2 linked regions of the Lytechinus pictus genome follow. The protein of the gene in region 1 interacts with the protein of each later gene in a pairwise test. Links are inferred from orthologs where the notes say so. Each region holds a gene or a part of one and is shown in the gene's direction. Other genes may lie near its edges.

What was found.
Region 2: the proteins of exocyst complex component 7-like (region 1) and pre-mRNA-processing factor 19-like interact in a two-hybrid assay, tested with the Homo sapiens proteins (2 studies listed by BioGRID and IntAct, with this or other methods). The link is inferred for Lytechinus pictus from reciprocal best matches to the Homo sapiens genes EXOC7 and PRPF19.

What each region holds. Positions count from the first base shown.
Region 1 is NC_087254.1:33,365,550-33,369,309, forward strand, and holds the start of exocyst complex component 7-like, read left to right. Parts: upstream 1-1,175; 5' UTR 1,176-1,396; intron 1,397-3,760. UniProt on the Homo sapiens protein: Component of the exocyst complex involved in the docking of exocytic vesicles with fusion sites on the plasma membrane.
Region 2 is NC_087246.1:31,303,872-31,307,631, forward strand, and holds the start of pre-mRNA-processing factor 19-like, read left to right. Parts: upstream 1-1,101; 5' UTR 1,102-1,176; coding exon 1,177-1,195; intron 1,196-3,760. UniProt on the Homo sapiens protein: Ubiquitin-protein ligase which is a core component of several complexes mainly involved pre-mRNA splicing and DNA repair. Required for pre-mRNA splicing as component of the spliceosome.

The sequences.
Region 1 (3,760 bases):
ATCAGACGCAACTAAAAAAATCAATTGCAACTTGGATTTTCAATCAATGAAAGGAGCGTATTAGAGACTTGATTTGGATTCGAATTCAAATCTTTCTGCTTTTTTTTACGAAAATAACTAATTTCTTAATTTTTTTTTGGTGAAAACCTTTTTTTTTGGTCAAATTTTCATCGGATGAAAACTCCCCCCCCCCTTTTTTTTTTGCTTGTCAAGTTTTCAATCAACTCAAAAATCCTGCGTACACTACTGTTTGCAGCAATATTCCCCAACCATCTTCAATCAATTTAATCAGTCCTATCTCTCCCTACTTGCTTCTGTATTTAGGGTTGTCCGTAGTTTCTCAAACCAGAAAAATGAATTCAAACAAAAGAAAAAAACAAGTAAAGGATTTTAATTAAATTTCCAACCAAATAAAAAAAACTAATGTTTACAGTTTTCTAATAGATTAGAGTGTTACTCCAGTCTGAAAATAACATGATCTTTGGAGCAAGAAACAAGAAAGCTTCATCAAAATCTATTTTAAAAAAGTTTATAATATCAATATTTTTTTTTATTTGTGCAAAATTTTGATCTAAGTGCTCTTCCAATTTTGATGAAACCATATCAGTGTTTTGTTTCTCTGATATTTACCATCTGTTCTAATGTTATAATTTTCAGCCTGGATTATCCCTTTAAAACTCATAATTTTGTATGCATTTCTTCTGAGCTAACACATTCTCATGAACTTTACACACACACATATAATACCATTCCATTATTTTTAAAATCCTTGCCTCTGTGCATGCCTGATAGGGGTGGGTATAGGCAGACAGAGGAGTAATTAATTGCTACCTCTTCCATCCCAAGTATTTAAAAATAATGATTTTAGCAATTTTTATGCAAATTGTCTAAAAAATATCCTCCCAAATTAAGTGTGCATGGGATCAAGCCCATGCAGATGCCATAATAAATCCTGCAATTATACTTCATAGGCCTAAATCAAAATGTAAAAAAAAAATATTAACTCCCAGCTTGTTTATGTTTCTGAATACTTTTAAATTTTCTTGCCACTATCAAAATTCCAAATTGTGGCCATGTCCCATTATCTTGTTGTATTTCTGTGTTTTAGGGTTTGTCTGCACTCGAGTCACCAAGATTCTGGCTGTGATGTCATTTTTCTTTGTTGTTCTGAAGACACTGTATGTTTAAATTTTTAGTAGAAATTGATCGCTGTATTTATTCGACGGGGTGTTGGAAAACCAATGGAGTACGCTGTTGAAGTAACAGCAGATAGACGTAAGGGTACCGTACCCGGTACGTTTGTTATGTGGATTTACGTGAATGGGTCAGGCCAGGAAGAGGTCAATCATAGATAGGATCGCCGAGTTTGCATGCAGTAATTTTTGATTTTCCACTGGTATGTATTTTGTTTGATTTTATGTGCTTGTACATTATAGTCTACTTTTCTGTTAACCCAGAGAGCTCCCGCCCGCACAGCGGGCGGGAGCCCAGAAGCTTACCGTGTATTTTACCATTGTCACCGGACTAGGGTGATTTATGGTCTAAATATTTCTCCAAATGAATTGTGAAAACAGAAAGTATACAATTACCATGATTATATGGATGAAGGTCTAACGAGTGGCAGATTCCTGACATCTGGGCACAGTCTGGAACCTCAAAAAAACGAAAAGTTCTCTCCTTCTACCCCGTCTCGATCGGCCATTTTTGTTAAAAATCGTAACAAAATGGCCGATCGAGACTGGGTAGAAGGAGAGAACTTTTCGTTTTTTTGAGGTTCCAGACTGTGCCCAGATGTCAGGAATCTGCCACTCGTTAGACCTTCATCCATATAATCGTGGTAATTGTATACTTTCCGTTTTCACAATTCATTTGGAGAAATATTTAGACCATAAATCACCCTAGTCCGGTGACAATGGTAAAATACACGGTAAGCTTCTGGGCTCCCGCCCGCTACGCGGGCGGGAGCTCTCTGACTCTGGGTTACTTTTCTGTTGGATTAGTTATTTAGCTCTGATTTTGTTAGAACTCATGACTGAGTCTTAACTTAAGACTTTTTAGCTTTGTCTTTGTTGCCGTTGGGAGGAGCCTCTCTGGGCCTGGACTGGCGGACTGGCTGCTCGCCTCTGCTACTCCGTCTCTCCGGGAAGCTCCGGGCTGCGTAATCCATGGGTCTCCGATCTCCGTTGCGTCTCAGTCACAGAATGAAAATCGCGGCGCTAGCTCTAGCGCAGCATAAATAATATGAGTGGGGTTGTTTTTGTATGGTCAGTTCCCCCATGTCTGCGCGGTCTCTCAAGTCTGCGCACCCGCGTATCTGCGCGATTCTAGTAAAAGAAGATACGCAACGAGCAAGAACTTTACACATGCAATACATAGACAGGTATTCATAAAAAATCTGACTCAAAATGGTGGAAAAATAATGAATTCAGGGCATTTCATGTGACGGCCTCAAAATGCAGCCTTTGTCATCAAAATCCCCAAATCGTGAAAGTGAATGAGTGCGCAGACATGGGGTACCATTTTTTTTTCAATCTGAAAATGACTGCCCAAAGGTTTTTTCAAGAAAATCTTATATTTTCTTTCATTTTTTAATGAGAAATTTGGTACACTTACTCTTAATAATATAAGGAACACTATTAACCAAAAGATTTTGTGAAATAAGAAGAAATTCATGTTAAATCTTAACTCAAATTGTTAGGTGCGCAGACTTGGGGCCCACCATCATAAATAAGGCGCTAATATTAAATGCAGTTTCAGACTTACACATTCATTGGCCAACAACCTGACGTCTTTGACTATGAAAGTATGATCAATGATGATTGATGGTGCCTTGGGCTTGGTGGCCAAGTCTGCGCACCTACCAATTTAAGTTAAGATATAACAATAACTAGACCAAAAGCTTCAGTCTCTGTATTTTGGTTGTTCCGCTGAACTACGTTGGCTCCACTCACCATACATAGACTGAAGGGGATGGGGCCCCGTACCTACAGCCAACGTATAGTGAACTAGCGTTTTATAGATCGCGATTTAAAACTGTTTTTTAAGCAAAATTGAAAGTTTCATGGTTTCCATTATCAGGGAAATATATATAACTTAAGTAATTGCATACCTTGGGCCGGAGTTATTGAAAAAAATCCTCTGGATGATTGAGAAATCTGTCATCTAAGACATTTTCACCTGACCTGACGGTTTTTCTTGCAAGTTGCCATCTTGAATGACGTCATTGTCGTTATTAACTTAATGTCTCGAATCGATATATCGCGATTATAACTAGTACTCGTACTAGTATAACTAGTATCGTTTATCTTCGGTTTCGTTCGCATATGGAGCAGATCGTATAATATCGAAAGCAATATCGATATCACATTCGTGATTGTTGACGTTCGTTTGTAAATATTTTATAGTTTGGCTGCCATTTTGACCATTTTTATCGTGTTCAACCCAATTAAACATCGGTAAAGTATATTTTTCATGCCTTTTTCATCTATATCGTTTAAAGTATTTAAATGTTGGAATATCATCAATTAAAAGTTTGTTGTTTATACATCCTTAGATTGTAAATTCGATGTGTAAAATTACATCAAACTTTGGACTGTGAATTGACAAAAGGGAGGGAATGAGAACACATGCGAGCCCACACGTACACCCTACCGTCGGTAAATGGGGATTACAGTAAAATGTCAGAAATTGTTGAATAAATCCCCAGAAACGACGGATATTCCTGTCTAAACAATAACAACATGATTCATGAATTACTTTT
Region 2 (3,760 bases), on another chromosome or scaffold:
CTACTCCAGCCCCACCCCGGGCAAAAATAAATAAATGAATAAATAAATAAATGAGGAAAAAATGAACCTAAAAACATGCAGAAAACAGACAAACTCGATAGAGCCAAATGTCATCTGTCATTTTTGGCAATTTTTTAGTTTTTTTTACAAGTATATATTTCAATATTAAATAAAAACACAAATGTAGCTTGGCAATATCCCCAAAGTTAAAAACGTGACACTTTCTTAATTGTGAAATGTGAATGATATCGTACGAAAAAGAGGAAGCTGTTGTTCTCACAAAAAAATCAAACTGGTTCACCATGCATGTAACGGGCAAGTAAGAAACCGAAATTTAACTTATCCAACGTGTGTAATGAAGCATTTTTTCTCTATTCCTTAAAAAGCTGTGTGCGCTATGAATGCCTAGCTTAGCCGGGTAATGAGCGCCTTCAGCACCTAACAAGGTGATGATGTGCGCAATATAAATACCATATATTATTATTATTATTCTTCACTTCTTCATGCATGCTTCTATTTATTTCTTTTTGTTTTCTTCATCTACTAATGTTGTTGTTATTGATATTTTTCCCTCTCTATAATGAACCGAACGATTTTATTGTTTTTACTTTTTTCCCTCCAATTATCTCTTCTTTTCTGTCTCCTCTTCTCCTTAACTGATTTCTCCATCTTTCTTTCCCTTTTCCCTCTTTTTTATTGCCGCCGCTAATGGGGGGGGGGGGGGGGGGGGGGGCTATTTTGCCCTTGGACCCGTCTATGATTCCTTTATATAGCTACTTCTTTTTCTTTTCATCGTGAAATTCTTATTCTGCAGTGTGCCCCCTTTCATCAGTCCCGTGATCATGTGCCCAAGTGTCTTGTTTTAATTTTAATTTTTTAATTGTTAATTTTAATAATTAATTAATTTTTCAAATAAAAGTTTCTTTTTTCTAGTTTGTTCTAAGTTTTTTTCCTTTCTAGAGGGGCAGCGGACCGAGGGGAGGGGCAGGAGGAAACATAGGGGAAAATGAAACAAGGACAGGAATCGTTATTTATTCACTCCTTCACTCGGATAAATAGCAATGACATTTTCTTTTGATTGTGGTTTTCTCTTTTTTTTTCTATATTTATTATATAGAGTAGACCGCCATCTCGCAATGACATTTAGATAGTGGCTAGGCGCTCACGCTTTGCAACATGGCGTTAGTTTGTTCAAGTAAGCAAGTATTTCATTCAATTATTTCACCGTCATCATGCCAATTCCGTAGATTTTTTCGAGGATTCTTTTGGATTGATTTATTAGATTTGTATGATAATAATGATGTTATACGGTTTGCTTTGAATGGGAAATTGTAGGGAATGCGATGTTTCGGATTCTTGTGGCGTAGTTTTGATTTCGGTCCCATCAATGCTTTTCAGCGTATGGTCGTGTTGATGTTTAGGCGCCAATGCAGTTTCGCACCGGCCGACTTCGTCTTCGAGATAATTTCCCCACCAGTAATTGTTCGAAAATATCATAGCAGCCAGGTCTCTCAATCACATTTCAACTTCAAGATCAATACATCCAGCGCTTTTCCGGTTGGGCGCTAGTGTAGTTTCGCACCTCCCCATTTAATGGTTTTCAAACATGTACAAAACTACAATCTCACCCTAAATTATAAATAATTCACAACCTAAAAATTTGCATCTGAGCCTCCAAAGTCCAGTAGAAGTTGAATATTTGCCGTTTTGACACTTTTTTACAAAGTTTTACACCTATTTCGGAATCACTCGGTCGCTTGATCAAGCTCAGCGCTGCACATAAGCAGTCGGTACGCGTACAGTACGTACCACCTAGTGAAGTGTGTGTGTGTATTTGAGTTTTGTCAGACGTGTATCAATCAGATATGATTATTTACGTCTGGGACCGACCTTTAACGTCACCATCCGAAAGACGTGACCAGGGCTCGAACCTCTGCATCAAATTGTAACTTCCCCGCATAGCTTGGATTACAGGCGCACGCCACAACTTCTTCTTCTTCTTCTTATGTTTGTTTGAGTGGCGATTAGTCATATTTGACTATTGTCGCCATTGACATTATTAATAAAAAATCTCACTTCTCACATAATAATATTATTACCAATATGATGTATACATATATAAAATATTTTTTTTGTATCCTTCTGATATGAAAGAGGATAATTATGATATGTACAAAAGTTTGCAGTAACTCTTGTCAAAATGGCATATAAACAAAACTTCACCAAAAACAAACCGCTATCTTCAGCTCAGTTCCAACTAGTTGCGCTTGCCCTGCCCTTTCAAAGATGCAATCATACCGGTCAGCACGGTACATTGTGCCGATTTTTCGGACATAAATGCCTAGGTCACCCATGCATAGACGAGGGGGCGCTAGTGTACCTGTGCTTACAGATGGGTTAAACATTAAAATCATTTTTTTTTTTTTTTTTTTTTTTAAACAACACCAACAACAACAAGGCGAAAACACTTGTGGGCTTTGTTAGTTATATGTGCAGAACATATCATTTTGTATATATTATATCATACATTATTATGTATATATATATATATATTCTTCTTTTCACATTAGACTTGTACAAGCATATCCATTCATATTTCTTATAGACAATACAATATTAAAATAGTACATCACTCCTTACTAAAACGTTTCGTTCTTGAAACGAAACGTAAAAATGCTTTCTGTATCCCTGGGTCATCTTTTTTTAAATACTCCATTATTTGTCCTGGCTGTGATTCATTCAATTCTACAAGGAGCATTGATCTTTCAATTATATATTTTGGACAATGTAAAAGATAATGTCTGACAGTTTCTAGCTCAGGACATCTATCACAAAACCCTGTTGGATGGATCCCTAATCTTAGTAGATCTTGGTTAAGACCAGCGACTCCAAAACGGAGACGATGGAGTACAGTTTCCTGTCTTCCTAGATTACATTTATATGTGGATAGCACTGATGGTTGCAATTCTTTCAGTGCTGAGTTAGTTTTATTCCATCTTTCTTGCCAAATTATCTTACAACTTTTTGAAATAAGTTGCATAATTTCTGATAATGTTATTTGATTATGAATTTCTATTTTGTTTGATAAAGCTTTTTTTGCGCAGGAGTCTGCTATTTCATTTCCTTTTATTCCACAGTGACCAGGGATCCACTCCAGGTATACCTCTATACCTTTATATTTGAGTCTTGTACTAATAGTTAGAATTTCTGTAATGATAGGATCGTCTTTCCGATTCTGTAAAGATAAAAGTGCACTTAATGAATCACTGAAAATAACAACACCTGTATATATATCTAAATATTCTATCCATTCCAGTGCGAGAACAATCGCAATTAATTCAGCCCTATAGGAGGACGTGAAATTCGATAGTCTTTTGCCTTGGTAACAGGAAAAATAAGGTACATAAAAAGCAGCTGAGCAACGCCCAGTTGTGCAAGAAGAGCGAGTTTTTCTATGGTATCTTCAAAAAGATTTTTTCCCCTCTTTCAGCTTGCACCAAGTATTACGGTAGTGGTTGTGCAGAGTGGTTGATGTTTGTTGTGTGAAGGTATGTGTGTGGGGTGTGCGTGTGTGTGATTTTTTGAATGAAATGTGAAAAATGTGAATACACGTAGATTTAGCGATGAAATAAGAAATAATAATGTAGAGCCTTGTTTTGAACTCTAGGTCAGCTCAGAGAACTTTCCTTCAGTTTACACTCTGCACAACCACTACCGTAATACTTGGTGCAAGCTGAAAGAGGGGGAAAAAATCTTTTTG